Canis lupus familiaris: one gene and its partner. The protein of the gene in region 1 interacts with the protein of each later gene in a biochemical or structural test. Links are inferred from orthologs where the notes say so. Each region holds a gene or a part of one and is shown on either strand. Other genes may lie near its edges.

The links.
Region 2: the proteins of SMARCA5 (region 1) and POLE3 form a complex in vitro, tested with the Homo sapiens proteins (2 studies listed by BioGRID). The link is inferred for Canis lupus familiaris from reciprocal best matches to the Homo sapiens genes SMARCA5 and POLE3.

The regions. Positions count from the first base shown.
Region 1 is NC_049236.1:43,046,072-43,051,322, reverse strand, and holds part of SMARCA5 (SWI/SNF-related matrix-associated actin-dependent regulator of chromatin subfamily A member 5), read right to left. Parts: intron 3,760-5,251; coding exon 3,533-3,759; intron 1,533-3,532; coding exon 1,411-1,532; intron 1,328-1,410; coding exon 1,175-1,327; intron 1-1,174. UniProt on the Homo sapiens protein: ATPase that possesses intrinsic ATP-dependent nucleosome-remodeling activity.
Region 2 is NC_049232.1:68,166,988-68,172,815, forward strand, and holds POLE3 (DNA polymerase epsilon subunit 3), read right to left. Parts: upstream 3,559-5,828; 5' UTR 3,457-3,558; coding exon 3,391-3,456; intron 3,288-3,390; exon of another isoform or gene 3,271-3,287; coding exon 3,185-3,270; exon of another isoform or gene 3,181-3,184; intron 2,872-3,180; coding exon 2,753-2,871; intron 2,470-2,752; coding exon 2,297-2,469; 3' UTR 912-2,296; downstream 1-911. UniProt on the Homo sapiens protein: Accessory component of the DNA polymerase epsilon complex. Participates in DNA repair and in chromosomal DNA replication.

The DNA.
Region 1 (5,251 bases):
AATCAAATTAATTGATTATTTCACAAGGAAAACTTCTAGGTTATACTGATATAGAAGTCACAGGTTTCTAAGAGTGCCTCGGTGGCTCAATCCGCTGAGCATCCAACTCTTGATTTTGGCTCAGGTCATGATGCCAGGTTTGTGAGATCAAGCCCCAAGTCAGCCTCCACACTTGGCATGGAGTTGGCTTGTCCCTCCCTCTTCCTCTGCTCCTCCCCCTACTCTCTCTCAAATAAATAAAATCTTAAAAGTAAATAAATAATAAATAAAATTCACACATCTCCAGATAAGACAGATAAAATTATAAATTTTAAGGTGGATGATAAAAAATTGTTTAAATCTTTTTTTCTTAGTTTTAAATTCAAATTGTTTTCCCACCTAAATCATACATCAAACTTCATTGCTATTAGGGAAAGAAGTAACATGAAAAAAGAACTCCACAAACAATATAAAAATCCTAGTTTTCAAATAACTACATACAAGTAGTCAAATTAATTTGAATTCCGTTTAACTTCTATTAAGTTCACAAAACACATTCTTACAAAACATCCCTATGTCTAATTGATCAATTTTCCTCAGCTACTCTTATAAGCAACCAACACCTGTGTTATGGTCACAAATACCATGTGTCAAGTATCAAACTTAAGAATTTATAAGTTTCCATATTAATCCGCAGATCATACATTTTCTCAATCTAAGAATGATCCTCCTGTTCTAGCCAAAGAACTTCTACACATGGGCATAAATTTTAAGCATCTAACATGGTAGATCTATAGCTCACCAAACTGGTTTCCCTTTCCTCCCAAGGCACAACTATACTATCATTTACCAATTCCCTTGCACCCAGTTACACTGATTGAGTGCTGGCAATGAATGTGGGGACACTTTAGGATCTGAACCATAAAAAAATTTCTTAGGCAATCCTCAACTCTCTCTATCCCCCCCACTTGGGGCATCAGGATACACTGGACATAGCTATACTCCAAGATATGGCAAAGCTGTAAGAGATATCTTGCTTTAGATGAAAGATTACCTATAAAACACCCTCCCTGAATGATTAAGTCAGAGAAAAAATTCTACTGGGTTGTCACTGAAATTTGCAGACCATTAGTATGCTCTAACGAAATTAAGCTTTAAGAAAATATTAAGAATATATTTAACTATTATCTCTTACCATAGCCTGGAGATCTACTTGGGGATTCCAATCTGAATCATACAAAATTACCACATCAGCAGTAGCAAGATTAATGCCAAGACCACCGGCACGTGTACTTAACATGAAAACAAACTTTGTGCTGTTTGGTTCATTGTATGCATTGATGGACTCCTATAGGTATAAAAAGAAACAAATGTCAGGCAATTATTTTATCTGTTAAATTTTTTTATCTTCCCTCCCTGGATCTTACTCACTTGTCTCTCATCATGGGGTGTTTGCCCATCCAATCTACAGTATTCATAATTTCTCCACATGCAGTAATCCTCCAAAATGTCCAATACCCTTGTCATCTGACTGAAGATTAGTACTCGTGAACCTGTTAACAAATAGAACAGCCCATTTTCAGAAGCTTCAAAAGTTAAAAAAAAGTATTTAAAAATTTAAGGCTAACCAAAACTAAGACTAACCAGTTCCCCTTAACTCTAAGTTACCTAGTTGGTTATAAGAAAAAATATATATACAGTCTGCTTCTCCTTCTGCCTGTGTCTCTGCCTCTCTCTCATGAATAAATAAAAATGAAATCTTAAAAAAAAAAAAAGAAAAAAATATATGCATTATTTATCTAAGTCAGTCATTCTCCACATTTTTCCCTCCGTGGCACAAATGGAAAGGGTAATGTAATATCTGTACAACACACTAAGATCAATGGAAAAGGGTATACTGTCCTGACCTGGGTCTGTCCCAAGGCTGAGAGAATAATCCTTTTTATTCCACATGGATTTAAAAATAACCTTCCACCACCACTTCCACCACAATTCTCCCATGTGCATGACCCTGAACGTCCCCTAACACACACCCAAAACCCATCTCCTTCTAGTTCTGAAGACCTAATTCCAGACTTGGTAATAATGGAAGGACCATAATGTAAGGGTGGCCTCACATCTAAATGGTCATCTTTTACCTATGCCATGATTTTAGTTATTAAACTGCCTCCATTTCTTCAGCCAACTAAGCAATGCCTTCACAGTAGAATATAGAAGACCAAGAAGTCATCATAAAAAAGTAAGGATTATGAAATTATCTTGTCTTATAAACTGAAGCTGATAATCTGCTGGTATCTCACCTTCTTATACCTGGAAAACCTAAGGATGCTCAATAGTCTCCATTCTCCTTCCAGAGTTTAATACAGCTTTCTTTAATATTGGAGTATTTCTACCAAGTTCTTGCTATTCCTTTCCAAGTCAATCCTTTACTATTTAGTTTTCAAAGAAAGCATTTTATACAACGTATTTCCACAAAAAGGCACAGAAGCAAAAAAGAAAAAAGTAAACCAATTCACTGACAACTCTTAGAAGGTTTTTAATTTTTAGTATCCTAGAGAGGTGACAGGTACAAAGTCATTCTTTTTTTTTTTTTAAGATTTTATTTTATTTATTCATAGAAACAGAGAGAGAGAGAGGCAGAGACACAGGCAGAGGGAGAAGCAGGCATCATACAGAGAGCCTAACGTGGGACTCAATCTCAGGTCTCCAGGATCACACCCTGGGCTGCAGGCGGCGCTAAACCACTGCACCACCGGGGCTGCCCTACAAAGTCATTCTTAACAAAACACATTGGAAAAACACAAATGGAAAAATCTGAAATCTGACTATATTATTTCAATATCACAGAATTAATAATTTGTGAATGAAATGCTTTGATGTCTGGGACTTACTTCAAAATAATCCAGAAGAGGAAAAGAAGTGTGGTATAGATATAAACAAGTTTTGCCATGAATTTATAATGACTGAAGCTGGCATCATAATCATTTCATTCTATACTCATGTATTTTAACTATAACTCTATATATACTACAGACGTACTCATTTTCACACAAAAAAGTCACCATGTTATAAACAAATCTGCTTTGGGTCCATGCACATATTTAGTAATTACCGTTAACCTTATTTTTTAAATTTAATTATTTAAATAATTAAAAATTCCACATAAATAATAAAAAACAAATACCGTGAACACAACACTGTTTACCAAAGGATCTGGGAACTATGTGTGGAAAGAGTATTCTTGGCACTTTAAAAAAAAAGCTTATAAATCTGGGAAAGCATATATATATATATGCTTTATATATATAAAGTGAGAACTCTCCCCCAAAATCTAGGAGTGTAACTGCCCTAACTACTGATCGCTAAAAAGATGTATAAGCCTAAAATTGAGGACAGAAATGAAGTTTGGGTAATGAGAATAGAAGTTTCTCGATGCCCTCCCATACTTCAACTTGCCAGATCAGTAATTTTAAATTGTATTGATCCTTTATTTTACATTAAAATGTAAAACAGTTTTCATCACTTCTAAATTTGATATCAGTAACGTACTTACCTTGTTCTTTTAATTTAGGGAGCAGCTTGTCTAACACCACCATCTTGCCACTGTTGGTCACTAAATGCATATCAGTTGTATAAGGTGGACCAGGTTCAGCTCCATCAAAGAGATATGGATGATTACAGCATTTCCTCAACTGCATCAGGATGTTCAATAACCTCATTTTGTCCATCTTCCCTGCAGAGTTTAATATATCTATATCCTTCATTAATATCCGAGTATACCTATCGAGAAGAAAAATGTTTTAAAAGGGCTCAAATGTGCCCGGTTACTTTCCCTGTTACTTTCACATTTAATTACCTCCCTTACCTTAACTCAAAATACCTTAACTCAAAAATACCTATAAAGAACCCATCAACTTCTAAGAAGTGGTTAGGAATTACCATGCATTATAACATCTTTCTTTTTCCCTGTTTTTCTTTATTCCCCCACTGTTCTAATGTTTACACTTACACTTTGGACCTTGAGGTCCAAAATAGTATGCTTCCCTGGGATGAATTAAAACAAAGCAGTAGAACATGTTTTTAAATAATTAAGCAAAACTTAAAACCTAAGTCACATATTTTTTTAATTTTTTATTTTTAAGTAATCACTAAACTTAACATTGGGCTTAACTTACAACCTCAAGATCAAGAGTCCCAAGCTGTACTAAGCCAGCCAGGCACCCCAAGGAAGTTTTAAACATAATTTTAATTTGTAGTCTTTTCCAATGGAGTGCCAATAGTATTTAATTATTATTCAATGTAACTAGTGTAGAATTTGGGTGAGAACATGAAGATCTAATGAGGGAGGAGGAATCATGATAGGGTAAGGCATGAGGATGAGAATAAAATGAATACAATGTGATTTAAATACAAATAAAAGTAAATTGGTGGGGGGATATGAAGGCAGTAAAGCTACAGTCATAGACTAAGGATGGATTATAAAAAGCTTTGAATGCACATCAAGGATGTAAACATTCTGCAGGAAAGACCAATCTATGTAAATACAAAAATTTCATGACCTTGAATCCTCTGAACAGAGTAACTTCAATAACCTAAGCAATCCAAGCATAACAACTCCAGTTATGAAGCATAAAGTATTATTCAAGGCAACCCTTTCTATACAATTCTGATATGAAGTTTACTAATATTTAACTAAAAAATATTTCTCTTAACACTGATTCATGTCATAGTTTTGTTATTTAGAGCCATACAAGACAAGCCTAATAATAGCTTTGCTACCTTATAAAGTCTTTGAAAAGTCTACAGTGGTCATCTCTTCCTCAGATGATGTGCCCATTTCTTTACATTCTATTCTTTCTATACTTCTACCAACAACTCCAGCCGCTTGCAGACATTTATCAAGTATGGAATTAAATACACTTGAAATGTAGTGTATCCAATAAAGAATAAGGTGGCTATTTATTTCTCTCCTTTGAACACAACATGTATTTTAACATGTGCTAAAGTGCTATCTTTTACTACAACCATTTCACACTGTTGATTCATGGTGACCTTTCTATCTGTAAAAAAAAAAAAAAAAAAGAAAGGAAGAAAAAGAAACTTACAAGGTTTTCAACATCTTTATTATGCCCTAGAGAGGTGTTAAAAAATAGCTACCTTGTATTACCACCACAAATCCACAAAAGGACATTTTATCTTGCCTAAATTAAAACATCCACTCAGAACAGAGCCTTTTATATATATAAAATAATAGCTTTATGGGTTAAAAGAA
Region 2 (5,828 bases), on another chromosome or scaffold:
AGTGCAGGGCTCAAACTTACTACCCTGAGGTCAAGACTCAGGCTCTACCAGCTGAGCAACCCAGACACCTCTTAAATTCTGTGGTTTTAAGTCAGAATTCCCATTCCCAGGAAATATGCTTTTTTTCTTAGGTAGTCAAAGTTCGGGAAGACCTAAAGCCATGTGGAGAGTTCTTCTGGGGGATGCATTAACTGGAGACTTACAAGGTGGTAGAGACAGATTGGAATAGATGGTGAGGCAAGCCCTCAAGCAGGTTTTGTGTACCAGGTTTAAGTATGGATTAAATGGAAGCAGTGAGGGCCTGGAACATAGCAATGTTCCAGGATGATCCACTTGGCAAGCAGTACTTGGGGGAAGTTGGGGGGCAGCAGACAGGTGGCAGGACACAGTTCAAAGAAGCCACAGGAGTCCAGAAGGGACTTGAGAACTTAGCTGAGTGATGCTCATGGGAATTAGGAAAGGATGTTTCTGCTGTGGACAGGGAAAAAGCCACCAGATCTAATGACTCCTGGGTTTGCAAGTTTAAGGAATGTTATTTATAAACTCGTGACTTGAAAGTTATGTAGATTAGAGGTAATAAAGCATTGTGGTTGACATCATGAAGGTAAAAGTTCTCCTTTATAGGATTTCAGAGTTCATACTTGAAAGCATGTAGGACAGTACCAAACACACAATAGGGACTCGATAAATATGGAGTCATTAAGCAACTAGTAACCATAGGGTGCCCAGCAGAGCCATAGAAAAGCTCTTGTCGTGGTCGAAGAGCAGCATCTGCTGGTCATCCAAGGCAATGCAGGATCCCAGATTTACAAAGACCTGGCCCAGTCTACCTTCCAAAAACCATATAGGGATGATCAGTGAGGGTCCTCCCCCAAAGTATAGTATAAACAAGCAAGATGAAACAGGAGTCATCACTGTTAACAAGAATGTTCTTTATTTGTACAAAGCATTATAATTTTCCTCAACATTCTTCATTTATTTGTCAACAAACTCTTGACTATATTCATTAAACAAATTAACAGTGTCAAACTACATACATTTGACTATCTGTCAACCTCCAAGCGCTCAACTTAGAGACAAACAAAAAAGTGCTTGGAGCACCAAATATCAAGAGAAAAAAACAACAACAACAAAAAAACAACTCTGAGAAAGGTCGACAGAATTACTTTAGAAGCAGTTAAAGGGGATGGATTTTTTTGCAGTAGGGATTAGATTCCTGAGCACCATCAGATTTCTGCACTTTGGGACATTAAGCAGGTTATCAAAGATCCTGGGTTGGGAGATGTGACAAAAGGAGGAAGAAAGTGGGAATGGGGAACAGAGGAGAGGCAGAAGGGAGACAGGGAAGGGAGACGCAAGAGGGAGAAAGTTGTGCCTAAAAGAAATAAAGTTTGGAATTCGTCATGAATTAAAGAATGAAAAACAAAAGTCACAAGCCTGGGAAATGGACTATGAGAAGAAAAAGCCTGGGGTTTTATACCTTCCAGGAGGTGACCATAAATCCTAAAGCCATAGAGTGGCAGGCAATGAGGTGCATCTGAGACTAAACCGTCTGGTTTTTTTTGGAGGGGGGGGTAAGATATTGGCACACGTGCTTGACGAGTTCCACTTTACACTAATGATTTAGAAGCATATGCACCCAGAGGACAGCACCCCAGCAGGTCAAATGCCTACCAGGCAACATAGAGGAGCTCCACGCCAAGTGGGTCTGGAGAAATAAAAATTCAATCAATGTTAACGCCAAGTGAAAAGACAACAGATTTCATTTCCCCCCCATAACCTTTTAGTAGTTTCCTAAAGCTAAACCATCCCAACCACTTATAACAAGCTAGTACTGCCAAATCCTATACAATCAAAACAGACCAACCATGCTCAAAAGCCCCAATTTTTCCTGAGCTTTGACTGCCTCTGTGACCTGGAACACAGCAGGCAGCATGGAAATCATTATTACTTTTTTTTTTTGGGGGTGGTGGTGGTGGTGGTGATGGATGGGGACCAAAAAACTGCCAGACCACATATATAAGTAATAAGAGATCAAATCGACTAATTAAATTTAGCCGCTCAGAATCCCTCTCGTCAAAAAGTCATTACCTTCAGAACTGACTTAGCAAAATGGGACTCTGCTATTCAGATGCTCTGACGGAAGCGCTGGTTTTGGTCATTTTAGTCAGTTTTTATTTTGATCTTCTCAGGCTCTTCTGGCGAGGCCCACTCTCCCCAGCAGGGAAAGAGCCTCTCAGGACCGCACCACGTTTCAGGGCGGTACCTGCCAAGGTGCCAACGTCTTCCCGTCCCACTAGTTGTCTACTTCCTCCTCTTCGTTCTGTTCTTCTTCTTCCAGCCTTTCTTCGTCTTCATCGTTGTCCTCATCTCTGCCCTTGTCTTGCTCCTCTGCATCGGTTTTTTTGTCTTTGTCCTTCTTCTTCTGCTCGGAAGCTTCCTTCTTGCCTTTCTGCTCTCTCCTGTACGCTGTGAGGAGGAAGGCGGTTAGCAGGCAGGGCTGGACCAAACCCACCGCAAGCAGCCAACTCCGCTGCACAACCGGAGAAGCTGGGGCCGGGAAGGAACAGTGAATCTGCTCGGCATCACAAATCAGATCAGATTCGGCGCCCATCGAACGGATTCCGAGTCGCAACCAGATACTCGGTTCCTGTTCCTACGCAGACCCCAGCTGCGAAGGCTCAGCGCGGCCAGGTGAGCCGGTCACACGGGACGGACATCTCCTCGGCCGCACAGAGCAGAGGGACGTTACCTTCCAGAGCTTCTTTCAGGGGGGTGACGAACCGCTGGAACTCCATCTCCTCCATGGCTGAGAGCACGTCACTGGCGTTCAACGTCTTGCGTTTTCCCTTCATCGCGAAGTTGTTGGCACTGAAACAAAAGGGAGATTCGGGCGTGAAACGGGGCAGGGCAAAGCCTAGGTCAGGGATGCTCGGATGCGTCCCTCCCCTTCCCTGCACAAAAGGGTCGTTTTATTTTGCTTCAGACCTCGCGAGCCCTGGACGAGGGCGCGACCTCCGCCGCACCGCGGGAGGGCCCACCTGTTGGGGGTTCGCGACTCCAGGGTGCGGAGTGGGGACCGGACGGGGGGGGGGGGGGGTCTGTGCGGCTCCCTCCCTCCCTCCCTCCCGCCCCAGCCCCAGCCCCAGAGGAGCTCTCGCCGGCTCCGCCCGGCCCGGCTCACCAGGAAGTGGCGTACAGCACGAAGACGCTAGCGGCGCGGGAGATGGCGCTGCGGGCCTCCTTGGAGATGTTGACACCGTCCGGGAGCTGCGAGAAGAGCGCGGGTGAGTAACGCTGCGGCCCGGGACCCGGGACCCGGACCCCGGACCCGCTCCCCCGCTGCCGGCTCGTCCGCCCCGCGCCCACCCGCCAGCCGGGGCTGCCCACCGCTTCCTTGATGATCCTGGTGATGACAGCATTGGGCAGGTTTAGGTCCTCGGGCCTCTCCGCCATGGCCGCCGGCGCCGCGGCCCGCCTCCGCCTCGAGCCTCTCCTCCAGGCCGCTCCGGCGTCCGGACTTCCCGCGTCGCCGCGCGCTGACCCAAGGAGGCTTCCGTCCCGCCCCCCGGGGCCCACGCTGCGTCCCACAGTGCCCCGCGCGCCATTGCCTCCCTCAGCACCCGGCCCCGCCCCCGCCTCGAGTCGCCCGAGCGTCCGAACTCTGCACGCCGCTACGGCGTTGGCCTTCCCGGGTTCTCGTCCGGCCTCCCCCCGGGGACCCAGCGGCCCCTTCCCAGGCTCGTGCCCCTGCTGCTGGCCGCCGCCACGTCTAGAGACTCCTCCTTCAGCTCAAGTATGGCTCACCGGAGCTTCCGTCCCTTCCCCACAGTGCTCTGCGCCGTTGCCTGGCAACGGCGGGCGTGGGCGACGGAGGCGTGGGCGGGGCTCCTTCCGACGCGGGGCGGGGCCTCGCCGCGTCTCGGCGTCGGCGCGGGCGTCGGGCTTTGCGGCCGGATTCGGCTTCCCGGCCGCCCGAGGCCCGCTGTCCCGCTCTGCGGTACCGGAGCGAAGCGGGTATCTTTAAAAAAAAAAAAAAAATTTTTTTTTTTTTTTTTTTTTTTTTCAGTTCTGCGGGACCTGATGTCCGTCTTGGAGCTCTTCACCCCTCCCAGCTTTGCCATAAGCGCAGTACGGAGAACCGTCGCCTGGAAGTGCTGCACGCAAACTCCTTTGCGGGCGCAGCGCTAAGGCTGGGGACGTAGACGCGGGCGGGGCTCGCCTCGGGCCTGGGTTCGGGCCGCCCAGGAGGAGAGCGCGGCCTTGCGTTCACTCAGAGCCAAACCCTCAGCCTTCTGTGTGTCTTTTACTTCGTTGACTTGTGCATAATACGTCTTTCCCAGTCGCAAGCATCATTAGCATGGTGTTGCACTGGCTTTTAGGTTGCATCATTGCATAGAAATTATTCTCATTCTCCCTGAGCTCGAATGCTTTTTTTTTCCCCCGTAAAATGTGCTGTCTTATGTCACCCTTAATTTACCTTTTTTTTTTAAAAATATATTTTTAAATTTATTCATGAGAAACAGAGAGAGAGAGAGACAGGCAGAGACACATGCCGAGGGAGAAGCAGGCTCCCTGCAGGGAGCACGATGCAGGACTCGATCCAGGGTCTCCAGAATCACGCCCTGGGCCCAAGGCAGGCTAAACCGCTGAGCCACCTGGGCTGTCTTTAATTTACTTATTTTTGAGTAATTTCTTTCTTTCTTTCTTCCTTTCTTTCTTTCTTTCTTTCTTTCTTTCTTTCTTTCTTTCTTTCTTTCTTTCTTCTTTCCTTTTCTTCTTTCTTTTCTTTTCTTTTTTTTTTTTTTTAAGATTTTACTTGTTTATTCATGAGAGACACAGAGAGGCAGAGACATAAAGGGAGAAACAGGCTCCCTGTAAGAGGCTGGTGCTGTGGGACTCCATCCCAGGCCCCGGGGGATCACCATCTGAGCCAAAGGCTGATGCTCAACCACTGAGCCCCCTCAGGCATCCCTATTTTGAGTAATTTCTACCGGGAACGTCAGGCTGGAGCTCATGACCACAGAGTCATGATCAAGAGTCACATGCTCTACCTCCTGAGCCAACTGGGTGGGCATCCCAGTTTTCCAGCTTTTGACAGAGACATAAGTACAGAGAAATACTTCCCTATTAGGAGAAAAACACCAGCAAACGTGATGATAAAGAGCAACTGGAACTGGATTAGTTAGAGATTATAGGGTTTGGTGGGGGAAACTCCATTTGGATGTAACAGGTCTGGTTTAAAGATACCAGGAGGCTCTCAGCTCCAATTGCTGTATAGTTGGAACTGTGAGCCGTGATGTCATATATTTTGATCTTTAAGAGGAACCAGAAATCTGAACACCGTGGACTATCTCCACTTAAAAAAAAAAAAAAGATTCAAAGTGCAGGCCAAGCAAAACAAGTCATAGGGCAGCTGTGATGCCATGCCAATGCTGCGCTCTCTTTGGTCTAATTTATAAGCTCTTGAGAACAAGGACTTATTTTGTTCATTACTGTTCTCTATGCCTGTTACAGGTCCCATCACATATATGGTAGTCAGTAAATGTGTTGGATAAAAGGAAGAAGAAATGGATACTGTCCGTAAAAAGTTATTAGGAACAAAAAAGTTATTAGGGATCAGGTGGTAGTGATCGCCTAAAATATTTCTAGAGAGAGAAAGATGATACTGTTTGTTGATCCTATATTATATATCATACGTAAAAATATATTATTTCTCTTAATGCTTTAGGGATTTTTCTTCCCCTCTTTATATGAGGAAACAAGCTGAGAGAGTTGAAGTCACTTGCCTACGACCATACAGCCAGTAAATGGAAAGCCAGAGGCCT